3 linked regions of the Caenorhabditis elegans genome follow. The protein of the gene in region 2 purifies or fractionates together with the protein of the main gene of each other region. This does not show direct contact. Each region holds a gene or a part of one and is shown on either strand. Other genes may lie near its edges.

Evidence for each region.
Region 1: the proteins of F13B12.4 (region 2) and lro-1 fractionate together in Caenorhabditis elegans (co-fractionation; one large-scale study listed by BioGRID). This does not show direct contact.
Region 3: the proteins of F13B12.4 (region 2) and C51E3.9 fractionate together in Caenorhabditis elegans (co-fractionation; one large-scale study listed by BioGRID). This does not show direct contact.

What each region holds. Positions count from the first base shown.
Region 1 is NC_003284.9:6,270,152-6,274,368, reverse strand, and holds lro-1 (Lysosome-Related Organelle protein), read right to left. Parts: upstream 2,281-4,217; 5' UTR 2,280-2,280; coding exon 2,016-2,279; intron 1,969-2,015; coding exon 1,837-1,968; intron 1,796-1,836; coding exon 1,709-1,795; intron 1,588-1,708; coding exon 1,351-1,587; intron 1,303-1,350; coding exon 1,207-1,302; intron 1,163-1,206; coding exon 978-1,162; intron 928-977; coding exon 684-927; 3' UTR 601-683; downstream 1-600. Other genes in the region: W05H9.2 (Dynein heavy chain 7, axonemal), read right to left, coding at 3,705-4,217.
Region 2 is NC_003282.8:10,444,070-10,448,611, reverse strand, and holds F13B12.4 (Putative pyridoxal-phosphate dependent protein F13B12.4), read left to right. Parts: upstream 1-1,807; 5' UTR 1,808-1,809; coding exon 1,810-1,921; intron 1,922-1,977; coding exon 1,978-2,175; intron 2,176-2,343; coding exon 2,344-2,516; intron 2,517-2,818; coding exon 2,819-3,408; intron 3,409-3,606; coding exon 3,607-3,841; 3' UTR 3,842-4,027; downstream 4,028-4,542. Other genes in the region: F13B12.7 (Neprosin domain-containing protein), read right to left, coding at 4,028-4,194, 4,238-4,415, 4,459-4,518.
Region 3 is NC_003283.11:10,143,960-10,149,577, reverse strand, and holds C51E3.9 (Methyltransf_11 domain-containing protein), read right to left. Parts: upstream 3,626-5,618; 5' UTR 3,561-3,625; coding exon 3,555-3,560; intron 3,446-3,554; coding exon 3,356-3,445; intron 2,991-3,355; coding exon 2,899-2,990; intron 2,849-2,898; coding exon 2,746-2,848; intron 1,633-2,745; coding exon 1,539-1,632; intron 1,490-1,538; coding exon 1,365-1,489; intron 927-1,364; exon of another isoform or gene 901-926; coding exon 694-900; 3' UTR 601-693; downstream 1-600. Other genes in the region: srsx-26 (G-protein coupled receptors family 1 profile domain-containing protein), read right to left, coding at 1-156, 201-304, 373-485.

The sequences.
Region 1 (4,217 bases), on a different chromosome or scaffold from region 2:
ACTATAACCAAAATCGTACAGTTCAGTTATAATCGAATTTGGTTTTCGGCTGTCAAGTCTCAAGTCTCCGATTGCGGAAGTTATTTTGTAATTTGACGAGTTAATAATGGCAAAGGTAAAGCAGCACCAATGAGAAATTCGAGAAACTTTTCAGAAATGTTCTGAATTGTTTAAATTTACAGATGGAATGTGGCAGTTATTCGGTTTGCAAATATTAAACCTTTGGAATTCGACAAAAGTTTTTTGAAAAACGGAAATTTTGTTTTAAAATTTGTCATCCCACCAAAAATGTTTTGAATTTTTTCAATGCGTTTTTTTCGCTGCATGTAAGATTAATGTAAATGAGTTTAAACAACGTGCATACGGCAACGTGCATTGCCTTTAAAACATTCCAAAATCAAAACTTTCATTAAAAACTTCCGTTGAGATTGTTTAGAAAATTGGTTCCCTTCTTAATTTTCAATACATATGTATTCTTGAAATTATTTATTTCGTTTTTTGAAAATGTTTGAAGTTGACGTGGCATTATAATTTTTGGTTCCCAAATTTTAACACTAACAGGCTCCCTTAATTTGTTTTGTTTTTAATAATAACCAGGATCAATCAAAAAATTTATACGTGAAAAATGGCAAAACAATGTGCAAACAATTTTATAATACAATCACATGGTTATCGAACAAAGTTTAAAACTGCTGTTCTTCTTTGGCAGGAGCCAGTGGTAGAGCAGTTATTGGAGTTGCTGGTGGTGGAAGAAGTGGGGCTCTTTCTGATGTTGGATTGTAAACCTGGTTGTTGCCGTCGAGCCGTTCGTAGACAGAGCGTTGTTTGACTTGATAAACAATGATAATGATTAAGGCGATTGAAAGAAGGATGCACAGAGCAAGAAGAACCCAGGTTACAGTCTCCCATGCAGCTTTTCCGGTGATTCTGAAAATCGTGATTTAGGTATTTCTCGATGCTAATAGTAAGTAACTAACTCGTCAAGAATTGTTGCTTTCGGAGCAATATCAACGGGGATCTCATTAACCGGTGGTGGGGCTCCAGCTTGTTCAACTTTCTTCTCGTTCAAAACTTCTTTCAAGGCTGCCTTGTCAAGTTGACCCTGAAGCTTGTCCGAAATTTGGTTGGCCATCTTATCCTTAACACCTTGCCCGATTAGATCCTGATATCAAAAATTGCATGAAGACATTAAAATCCCTAAATTACCTGAATAAGATCCGAAAGTTCATCCTTCTTCTGCTCATATGTTTTTGCCTGATCACCAACATTCTTCCCCTGCTGCTCAATATCAGCAAGTTTATCCTGAAATCAAGATGGGAAATCAGTTGGAAGACATTGCCAAAAACTCACATTGATCTGTTGCTTTAAAGCTTCATGATTTTCTCTTTGTTCGCCAAGCCGTTGATTTTTCTCGTCAACGCGACGCTTCACCTCAGCAGTTACCAGCTCTTTGACTTGAGCCAAATCGGTTTTCAATTCCTCCAGTTTCTGTTTTCTTCTTTCATCAAGCTTTTGTTTGGCTGCATCGATTTGTTGCTTCAACTCTTCTCTTTGTTGTTGAAGCTTCTCAGAGGCTTGCTTCCATTTCTAGAATAAGATGAGCATTTATAAAGAAAAACCAAGTAGTAGTTAGTAATATCTTAATACAAATAAAGCGTCATTACTTCAAATTCTTATTTCAATTTTTTAAATAAATTGTGATTTATACCTCAATTTGCTCCTGCCTCTGTGCTTCTTTTTCTTCTTGTTTTTGCTTGATTTTGTCCGTAAAAGTTTTCACAAAATCATCAATTTTCTGAAATAATAATCCAAAAAATTTAAAATTTAAATAGTAACCTGTTGTTTTTCTTGCTCCTTGGCTTGTTTCTTTTCCTTAACTGACTCGACGAATTCTCCAACTTGTTGAGAAACCTCCTTCCATTTCTCGATCGCTGCTTCGGCTTCCTTTTTCTTGGCTTCAGCTTTTTCCTGAAAAAAATCATAAGAAAACTGATATTTAAATTTTGATTTGTGACCTGTTTCTCCTTTTCCAATTCATCGGCTCTCTGCTTAACTGCATCAGATACCTTTGAAAGCGTTTCGTTCAGTTTCTTCTGAGTCTCTTCCCGGTATTTGTCTCTTGCTGCTCTCGCATTTTCAAAATTAACTCTCAGTTCTTCTTCCAATGCCTTTTCCGTATCAATTACTGACTGGAAGGTGTCAGCAAGGGAGTAGTAGCGAACGGATGAAACGCTCGACGCAAAAAAGACAAGCAGCAGTGCAACTGAGAATGTTCTCATTCTAAAATGTTAATGATAAAAATCAATACAGAACTTATCAAATTGTAAAAAGAAAAACCCAGAGTGACTGTTCAACTGTCAGACAAAAAGAAAAGAGCCACCAATTGTGTGGGGTATCTTATCAATTGACTGATAGTTGGCTACAAATTAACGTCCGCCCAGTATGTTGTTGATGATGGAGAACGAGCAAATAAACACAATGACAATTAGAATCATAAGATTGATCTGAAATTGGTGTCTTTCATAATGAGCATGCTCGTGATACAAACTTGGAATTTATGTCAATATAATTTTGAGCTTGTTGTGCAAATAGGAAATTTCAAATCAATTTTTGAAAAGTTTTGCATTTGCTCATTTCTAAAAAGTGCATGACAAAGGCCGTAATTGTTGGATGTTGGATACCGTTTGCTATTTCAAAAATTACCTATTAATTTGAGGTTTGAGACATTTGAACTTGAATACTGAGCATTCTGATATAAAAAACATCTATTCGATTTAAAATCTTCAGAAATTTTGAAACTTTATATTTTCGGCAATGCTCATTTTCGGGCCCAAATTGCCGAAATTACTAATGAAATTACATTAGCAGTTGCAGCACTTTTCAGGTTCAAACAAAACATTCCGAAACTTGGCACGCGAGTTGAAGCCTGTTAACTTTAATTCACCAGTTTTAAGTTTGCACAATGTGAAAAAATGTGAATATGTTGATACACTGAAAACATAAGAAAAATTTTGACATAAATTACTTGAAGTCAATAAATTATTGAAAACTAATCTTGCTAATCCTAAATGAACTGCTTATTTCAGATCGAAAACTGACTTATTTTAACTTTTCTTAATATCCATTCGAACTAAAAATAAACGTGTCATGTGAATTAGTTCTAATTCGAGACTTGTAAAATATTTTACAGTCAGAATATTCAACTTTCAATATAACTCCACATTTCCAAACTGATCAAGAATTAGTAACAAGAATTAGTAATAAACATCTGAATTTATGAATTTCCGACGTAATAAATTTATTTTTGCATTCTATTTCAAAGTAATAACAAATCATTTTTGGGGTACCAAAAACTTGATTCGTAAATCGTACTTCAGTGCGCCAAACACTTTGGAACGTTGACCAATGGATGTTGTCATGAAACAATGGGAAAGAGTATGGAACAAAAGAGGAAATGATAATAAAAAGCTCACTAGGTCTTTGGTTTCAATAAGCCTAACCGGACAATATAAAATTAGACACATTTGAAGATGGGGGTGTATGATGAGTTTGGAAATGTGGTATCCGATAAAATTATACGTCTACAAATTTCGTGGGGAATTATGGTAAATTTTTTGAGCATGAAATACGTTGTGATGAGATTTTGAGGAAACAAAAGAATGTAGAACAAAAACAAAATGATATTCAATCAGCGAAAAAAGATATTAATCAAGTGGGATATTCAAATATGGTGCAGACATATCCGGCTCCATGTGCACTCTGCGAACATTGCGAATGAAGTTATCAATCACGTCATCTGGAACGCGATCGTCTTCTACGTCACCTTCATTCTCCACGAAGATGACATTTCCATTCATAGAAAACGTATTGAGAAGGAATGCAACTCTGGCGGCCTCCTCGGGATCAAATTGACGCTCAACGCCGTCCTCCTCTTCTTCATCTTCCTCTTCATCTTCATCATCATCATCGCTTTCCAATTCTACATTTCGTCTAACCCGACGACGTCCGACATTTGGTCCTTCATCTGTTGCGTAATCCGATCCGGTTTCCGAGCCAGTCTCTTCAGATTCTCTACCCTCTTCGGAGCCTTCAGCTGTGTCTTCTGGAAGATCGTCTTCTGGAATTGGTGTTGGAGTTCTTACACGGCATCTAGACGGCGGGTTCTTCATGTTGTTACACACATAATCCATGTAAGTCCCAGCCATCATTCTGGCAAT
Region 2 (4,542 bases):
GCCAAAAACCCAGCAGTTGTCTTTTTTCAGCAACTTATGGATTTCCTTTTTTGGATATACAAATTTTCACTTTTTAAAAATAATAAATTAAACTCATTTTGTGAGTGTTTGTATAAATAGTTTTCGACAAATTGTAATTTTCGGGTGAAAAATCTGAACAAAATTGAGTTAAATTTTTAAAAACTCTTAAATTTCTAGAAAGTAATGTAGTCAAAATTTAAAACCTTTACTCTAGATTGAAAACGAACAGATGTTTTTCTGCAATCAAATTAATTAATTTGCAACATTTAAACCTCTTGACGTACTGAAATTGTTCTTTTTTGTTTATTTCCTTGTTCTCTTACAATTGGCAAATCTTTTGTTTGAAAGCAGTAACACATCATACTTTTCCAGACTAATCTCTTCAATAATTTCTATGAGTTTAAAATGAATTAAGACAAAGGTGCAAGAAAGATATGACATCATTTGACCTACATGCTTCATTTTAATTTGTATACCGCTTCAAAATGATATCATTTCAGAAGATGATGCGATTTGAAACAAAATTTGAGAAGCCGTAGTGTATGTAGTAGTTTTAATTAAATCAAATCATCTTAGTATAAACTGCTTCCGGTTTCCGGAATCTAAATTCAAATCAAAATTTTTTTGACTTGACATTTTTAGAAAAATGGCAAGAAACTGATCTAGAGACAACCAGACATCAGTGATCAGCTCCGATTCTTGGTTTACTTGGACTGAACAAAATACGTAAAACAAAGAAATTAACGAACGAATCTTTATTGTGCTTTAAAAGCATTAGTTGCAAGGAAAAGAACACTTGGAGGGTAGCTCAGGCTACTGTAACCATGATTTTATATTTTTGTTTTTTAGGTTTTCTGGGGAACTTTCAAATCTCCACAGGAAGATCCAAATCTGGGTGTTATTCGTTTATTCAGTGTCTTCAAAGATTTTTATCGTTTTGCAAATAACCTTCATATCCAAATTTATGCAACAATTTTGGGACTGGCGGATTTATTTCTAAACAATTATGGGAAATTCAATATAATAAAAATGTTCGAGCCTTATATATATTAAAAGTGCGGAAAGTTTGTATAAAAGTGGTGCCGAATTGCCGAGAAGGTTTTGAAACTCTCTAGCGTTTAAATTTCGACTGAAACTTAAAAATGGATTATCGTGTATTTTGGCAGTAGGCACGGGGCAGGCATATATCGCCTTGCACGCGGACAGACAGTCTCATGAAAAAGTTATCTTTCAGTTCTTTTTACCAACCTTAAATTTACTATATATTATTTTAGAAAATATCCTTTTACGCGCAATTTTTTGAATAGAAAGCTTCCTATGACATTTAGCAGAGTTTAAGAAAAATTTAATTTCTACATTTCAAAAATTAGAGAATTTTGTATTGTCCAGGTATTATTTTTTGTTTTGAAGCACTATTTCAAAATGAGTATCATTTCAAGTCATATAAGAAATGAGTTTAATTTTGATCAGCTTATCATTGAAACCGGAACTCTTGCAAAAAGAAAACTTAGATTCATAAATAGTCGCATCACTTATTTTTTTAATGTTTACTTTTCATTTCAAGTTTTTTATAAAGTTCACTTTCTAAACACTCCATGAACCATGTATACTATAATAGTTGTTTGACTCCGGAAACTGTGCTCTTTCATTAATTTGTGGGCGTGGTCATGCTCTTCATTGCGTTCGAAATTTCAATCTTCCTACTGTACTTGTGGGCGTGACCCCGGACTTATAAAAGAAAATTCCAATTGATACATCAATCACAAATTTAATTCATCGTTTTCAGCCATGAAACTACTTCTTCTGGCTCTGTTTCTGAGCATATCCGCAAGTTGCCTTGCAGAAGATATAACAAAAATTTCTGAAAGTCGAATTCCGAATGAGGATGCTGTACCTGATTGTTAGTTTTTTTTTTCTCAAGGTCTTTTTAATTCAATAAACATAAAATATTTTTAGATGAAGCAAAATGGAGGCTCGGAGCAATTCAAAAATTATGGAATGAACGACGAAAGATGGGACACACACCAATGACAAAATTCAGTCCCCCTGGTTTCCCGAACGCCGACATTTTCTTCAAAAATGAAACTGCCACAGCTACGAGAACGTTGAAGCACAGATTTGCATGGGCTCTTCTTCTTTGGGCTATTACAGAAGGTTAGTATGTTATTTAATTGGTGAAGTACAGTGTATCTGCGAAAACTTATATTCTGCAGGTTTTTTACTGCTAAGCTATGAGTATGAGAGCTATGAGTAAGCTAGTCCAGAAACGTTAAATAAATAACATTTCTCAAAAAAAATTTCTGCAAATTTTAAAATTTCCAGGAAAAGTGACTTCAAAAACATCCGCTGTCTACGACTCAACATCTGGTAATACTGGGTCTGCTGAAGCCTACATGTGTACTTTAGTCAATGTCCCATACTATGCTGTCGTTGCTGATAATTTGGAAAAGGAGAAAGTCAAGCAAATTGAGAGTTTCGGAGGAAAAATTATCAAGGTACTTCTTCTACTTACACAGAGTCACATACAGTATTTTTGGTTTAATTTTCATTTAATATTGACCAATTTTTTGAGTTAGCCAAAGTTTTTCCAGTTTTTAAGAACTCTAACCCCAAAACTTTCTCATTCAACTCAACGCCAATTTCTTATAAAATTTCTTTATAGAGAAACAACTTTTATTGTGTGAAATTTCGCGTTAAAATTTTTAAAGATGAGGGAAGCGTTGTTAAGAAAGTTGGAAAATGTCGAGAAAGAAGCAGAAAAATAAAAAAAATTATTGTAAGTTTTGCTTTGTTTCAGGTTCCTGTGGCTCTTCGCAATGCAAAAGCTAAGGAATTCGCCGACAAAAACCACGGATTCTACATGAATCAATTTGGAAACGCTGAAAAAGCTGAAGAATTCCATGAAAGTGGAGACTTTTATTTTGAGTCCACAAATGTCTATCATGAAATTATTGTTCAACTCAAAAAGGACAAAGAGCAAATTGTCAAAATCCCTGACTACTTTGTTCATTCAGCAGGAACCGGTGGAACTATTTCGTCAGTTGGCAGATATGTCGCTAGATATGGAGCACCTACAAAAGTCGTACTCTCCGATTCTCAATACTCTTTATTCTACGATTATGTAATTGGACATAAATTCACAAATCAATCTGGTGCAGGTATTTGGACACCTCCAGGGATTGCTGGAATTGGTTACGGATATGATATTGAACCAGTGTGGTACGGAGAAACAACAAGTTTAACAAGAAATGTAATCCATGAAGCCATGAAAATGCCTGATATTGCATCAGTAGCTACAATGAGAATTCTCGATGAAAAAGGTTATAATGTGGGACCGTCAACATCACTCAACTTCCTTGTTTCTCTTTACAAAGCCTATCAGAACAAGTAAGTAATTCAAACTGACATCATTGCAAACTAATCCGTCTAGAGTATTTATTCGTTGTCTTTTGACGACTTAAGCGTTTACTAGTACATTTAAATTTTTGCGTTAAAAAATATGTTTTAATAGTTTAGTTTACGCAAGCGTATCAATATACCTTGCGTATACCTTGGCTATCAAATCTTGATGAACACAATTTTCAGAGCCAGAAAATCTGCTATCAAGCATCGTCTTACGATTGTTACACTGGCTTGTGACCCAGGAGATTTCTACCGTAGTACGTACCTTAACAACGAATGGGTCGAGAAAAGTTTCAAGAAGTTTGGAGGTGTTATGGGAATGGAATGTTGGAAAAAGCTGATTCAAGAATCAATTGATACGGGTTCTGATTTCTATTCGAAAGGTCTCACTATGTGTCCAGGAGCTTTTAAAGTTTAACTGTTTTGCATTTCTGTGTTTTTGTGTCTCTCCGTATTGTACAGGTTCGTAATTGATCAATTTTAAATTAGATTGTTTTTTTCGAAAATAGAACTCATAGTTCCAGTGATTAAGTCTATTCCCGTGCATGAGTTTTGTGCTTGCTTTGATCTGTATTCAAGTTTAATTGAATAAACTATTTATTATTTAATTATCTGAAAACGCAAAAGTTATAATATTTGCACATAAGGCAAATATGAAAATATACACAACAAAAATTGACCAGTCGACGCCGCGAACAACAGGTTGATCAAGAAAACCATATTGAAAATCAATTGAATCTTTTTTGCGACCATCCGGTGTGTAGATGATTCCTGAAAACAGAAATTGTGATTTTTCAAAGTTCTAAAAACTGACCTGTCAATGATCTTTTCGAACAAATGAACATTTTCTTGCAAACTTCACAATATGTTGGACATTGCACAATATGTGTTGAATTATTGTCAAGAAAAGCCAACCCATCGTAAAGAGGACAGCTGACAACTTTATTTCCGATCGAAAATTGAAATATTTCAGTTTTGTTGCAAACTTCGTTCTGAAATGCGGACTTTACTTACATGGCGAAAATTTTAACTCACTTGAATACGGTACATTCTAGTTGTCTTGGAAACAAATTTAGGAATATCTCCCGTTCTCATTAAGGAAGTCAATATGTTAACTTC
Region 3 (5,618 bases), on a different chromosome or scaffold from region 2:
ATTTTACAGAAGCCTGCTGATAATACCGATACGATGTTGGAAATTTGACAGCAATGAACCGATCAATTCCCATCGCTAGAATCAATGGACCACCTGCACAATATCCAACGATTGGAAGAATCAGAATAAAATAGCATTCTGATTGACTCGATGTGACTGGAAGTTTGAAAAAAAGTTAGAATATATTCAATTCAACCAACTTCCTGTGAAATATTCAATGAGGAATGGAAATTGCCCACTAATATGAAATGCATCAATTAGGCATGTTAGTGATATTAAAAAATAACAAGGAGAATGAAGTCTTCTGAAAATTAAATTATTTTATAGTGCCGGTATTTAATATGCCCAGTAATTATTAAATTCCACACTTACTTTGTAACAGAGCAGCATATTATCATAATTAAATTTCCAATCACTCCAATAGTTGAACAAAAAATAAAGAAGATCGCAAGTGGAAGTAAATTAAGATCCAAATGATCGAACATTTTAATAGAATCAATGAATGAAACAAGGAACAGAATACAGAAATCTGAAAACTTTTCCGTTTTTTCACAGGATTGTGTCGTGCAAAATGCAACTTTTTCTACCAAAAGAGAAGATCAGAGTACGTGAGTTTATTCATAAAATCCAATCATTGGACCAACTAGGGAAAGTGAACCCTGCAGACAAACATTCAATAACAAAATCAAATAATTATTTACGTAACATAACGATCAAAAGTTTCTCCTCGAATTCGAATTTTCCAGACTTTGAAACACAGAAATCACGAATAGTACGTTCATCACATTTTGGGGTGTTCTTGACGGCTGGGAAGCAACCGGAATACAAAATATTCTCCCATTGAACCTTGTCGACAGAAATTGGAACGGCTGCAGAGAAGCATGTAGAATTGAGTTGAGCCTGAAATTGGTTTTTTTTTTTGGAATACTTTCCCAAATTCCTATTAAAAAAAAAGGTTCAACTGGGAATTCATGACAGCTGACTGAGAGTTAATTAACAATTTCTGGCAAAGGTTTATGCTGACTAATATTATTAAATTATTTTTGACTTTTTGATTTTTAATGAAATTTTGGTTACATTCAAGCATATTTAGAAATCATACAATGTTGGTTTATTGATGATTATGATCTGAAATGGACTGGCATAGGTTTTGACGGAAGTGTTTTAAAATCAAATTTCCTCGTAATTCCTGGAATTTTATATTCTTACTGACTAAGTACTCCATCTGTGTTTTAATTGAGATCACGAGATGCTTCAAAAACATTTCGATCATACTCAGTAATCTAGTCTGATGACTGATCTTCCCATGATCCGTGGGAATCCAAGTCTAAGTAGTCAAAAAAGTCAGCTGAATAATCACTTACGGCGTTTGCTGATGCAAGCAATTCCTCTTTAGTAGCTGCAAGTTTTCTCCAAAGCATGAGACATATATCGGGAACTGGCAATGGTGGATTCTTGGGGCGAGAAAAGAGAACTATTTGACCTCCATCTAAAAGTTAATAACAATTTTCTTCAAGTATCGTCCGAATTCGATCAACCTTTAAGAAGAGTTTTCAGCTTTTTGAACAATCCATCAATATCTCCAATATCGTGTGAAATCTCGTTGAAAATAATGAGATCAAAGGGACCACTCTGAAAATAAATTGTATTTTAGGCGGAAGTTTTTATTTTTGAGAAAGATATAAGTAGAACTAGTTCGGCAACAAGTTGTTCGGAGGCGTGAGAAACTCTGTAGCATGAACTCGTGAATAATATTTTTTAATTGTTCAACACTTACAAAATGATCAGACGGATTCGTTGAAAGTAATTTCTAAAATCTACAAAGGGAGAGGAATAATTGTTGACTTTCGAAAATACCAACTTCTTTTTTAATATGTAGAACTCTAACACATCATTGTTTCAATGATTGATTCGTGAATTGTAATAAAAATTAAAGATTAATATAAAAATTAATAAAAAAAACACATGAATTTTTTAAAAAAGAAATTGCTATAATTTTTTTTAAATTTTTCCAAGGATAGGTGGCACAAAATATTTCTTGGATTGACAATACCTTTAGAAATTTATTACTAAACATATGTTGAAATACATAAGTATTTACACAAAACTGTTTTTTTTAATGAACGGTATCTTTAATTGCTGTTATCAATTCATTCACAGTTTTAAACATTCTATCATTTTTGAAAAACATCTAAAACTTTCGATCAATCGTTTTGTAGATAATAGAGTTTTTCAAAAGTTTTTGACAATTGTAAACAATGTTTGTCAACTTTAAGATATATTTTGAAGTAGTGTCAAAAGCCAACGGAGTACGTAATTCAAGTGATTTTTGGTCAAACGTCTCTGTCTCCTTTACCCCGGTATCTTCTAATTTAACGAGTGTTTCATGCGGGCTTTTTTCATCTTCAACTCTAGACCGTGTAATTCAATCCGCCATCTTATTCGTCGCCTCAAAAAACGAAAAGGCTCTGAGTAAACTTCAAAAATCTTCTGATCGAAGGTTCACGACACAATTATCTTGTCACCACGGGTCTTTTTCGCTGTTTTGGCGGCTCCAGAGAAGAAAAAATGAGCATGTGTTGTTACATAACAGATGGCAACTCACACATCTGCACGCACACACTTACACCAATCAACCCAGATCTTTCGATATTCTATCAATTATTTGATAGGTCACATTAACTTGATTTTTATGTGATTGGTTCTTTGAGATTCAATAACTAAAAAGAACGCTTCCGAACACACCTGGGCGATTGAATCGGCATTTCTCAGGATGCTCCCTTTGTGATATTGGACATTGACAGGAAAATCGAAAGTTGGTCTTACACTCGATGTCATAATTGTTAGCCTGAAAACAAACCTATATTCTAATTCCATTCTTTTATTGCCCATGCTTACTTGTTGGTTGGGTGATTTTCAGCCAAAGTCAAAGCAAATAAACAAGCTTCCTCTGAGACGTCCAAGATTGAAAGACCATCGGATTTTCCCATCTGAAAAAGTAGACTTATTTTTGGGTTAAAAATTTACGTGTGTTAGAAATTGCATTTGAACCATTTTATTCGAGAATAAAACTTTGTAAAACTTTTAGTTCTATCTAGGCCCCAAAGCACTAGTGGCTCTAGACGCCAAGGCATCGAAGATCCAATAGAAACCTGTGACTTCTAGCGAAAAATTACTATTTTATGATTACTTCTTTTTGTGAGTATTTCATAAAAGTAACAAAAAATACTATACATAATACCTTTAAAAATCTATTGTATAAAGAAAAAATTAAAGTCTAAAAAAACCGTGACATGGTATGTTTATTTGGATAATACGTTGTAAGATTTAGTATCAAGTTTAAAATCAAACTTACTTTATCCATAATCAACTTCCAGAAATCTCCGTGATGCTGAACTTCAAATTTCTTGATAGCTTCATACTGTTCTTTTCCAAACTTTACTCTCTGTAACAATTGCATATTTTTACAATTACGGAATCAGATTTGTGTAATTCTTGTGTATTCACTATATAAGTTTAGATAAAAGTATTTGAAAATTGAAAAAAAAACTGACCACCATCTTGAAGCGTTGATTGTTGTACACCTGGACAAACGGCGAGAAATATCTTCTTCTCTAGGCTCTGGTGGAAAGAAATGAGGAAACAACACAAGTGGGGGAGTGAAAATGAGGATGAGAAGAAGCGGAAAAGATGGATGAGCAACAAGTGGAGTAGCGCGGCGAAAGAAGTTTGCACACTGTTAAATTTCGATCTGGGAAACGACTTTCTGGTGAACACGTGTAGGTGGTGACAGCGTGTTGTGGGAAATCAATGATCTTGAGATTTATTGGTTAAATATCGGAATTATGAATATCTTGAAAAGTAATTAAAGACATTTAGAATTCAGTAGGAGTTTTAAAAAAATTATTCAAACTTTGAATCAAACAGTTTTTCTTGAATCAGCTGGACAAAATATGGGAAGATTTGTGCCTTCGAGATTTTTTACTCCGAGCTCTCTTTAAACCCCATCAATATGACTTTTTTGTGTATACTGGGAATCCTTTGCAGATCAATCGCTGAAAAAAGTGGTTACATGCGTTTGAAAATTTCAATTTGTCAATCTGAAAAAATGTGTTATTTAATAATTGTTTTCATAATTGCCAAATGTGCTATGTTATAGCGACTATACAAGTTTAAAAATTGATGCATCGTCAATGTGTGTTTTGAATAATAAAATAAATAAAAAGTACTTAAACAAAACTTGAACACATTCAAATGTTGATTGAATATTATGATTATCATCAATTCCGTACTCATAGCTGTTTTTATATCGTGTAAGCTTTTAAAGCAGAAACTTATGCGAATTTCACTTTTATAGACTGTTCTATTGTGTATGCATATCGTTTTCGAAATGGTAGATTGTGTCCAAAAGCGGCAATGGACCTCCGAAATCATGCACTCCGCCAACGGATCCAAATAATCTTCCTGCTTCAAAACTAGAATGCTGGTTCACGAGAGAAATGTTTGAAGACCTGTTCCCATTTGCCAATCTTGGATGGGGTCCTTCGAGTTGCTGGCCATATTCTTACGATGTTTTCAAAATTGCATCCAGATACTTTCCAGAATTTGGAACTTCGATCAATGTCAACAATACTGTATGTAAATATTTTTTCTTCAAAATTCAAGTATTGCCACATTTCGAGATTATTTCATATTTTTGCAGATGTATATACTGCATGAAAATAAGAAACGAGATTTGACGGCTTTCTTTGCCCATGCTATTCAAGAAACTTCAAAATTGATGAATTTCAGACATCAGTCCGATCAAGATGCATCAAACTGTTTCTACCGTGGAGGATTTTATAACTGGTTTGAAAGAGGACCAACAAGTAGCTTTTTGGACCCTAAAACTCCTGGTTATACTCCAGCCGACGGAAACTCATGTGCATCTTCTGGTCTTTATTGTTCTGCTTCTGATCAAATAACTTATTTCTATCCATGCTCAAATTCAACAATTTCAAACACTGTTGCTTCCCATAGAGGATGCTATTTTGGACGCGGAACAATTCAAATTTCGTACAACTACAACTACGGACAATTCCAGGATTCCAGAACATTGAAAAAAAAAACTAATAATTCTTCTGCATTTCACACTTACTTTATTGTCATCATGAGTGTCCGGAAGATCTGAACCTGGTGCTCCAGTCGCGTAGGTACTCATATTCATTTGATCAATATGATCACCACCAGTAGCAGACATTCGACCAGAAGCGTTTTTTAACAAATGTTTTTACAAATTGCTGCAAACTGTAAGGATTGACCTGAAATCTTTGCCAGTGATCACATTCAAACACAAAAAATTTATTAACATCCCAAGTTCAGATTCTATCCTTGATTCTTTCTCAGGAACTTCCGTTGCGAGTGGCGGCTGGACCTTTTGCATTAGGGATCCCATTGGAGGTTGCAGGCGGCTTCATAGTTAAACCATATCTTTCAGGAGCTCGTCGAATGCGTGTACTGCGTCGTAAAGGAGTCGAATGCGTGGTGCTGGGTGGAAGATCTTTAGTTGATTTTCCTTTTCTTCCCTTATTCATCACTATCATTTTTGCGAGTCCACGTTGATTTTCTTGTAGTTTGCG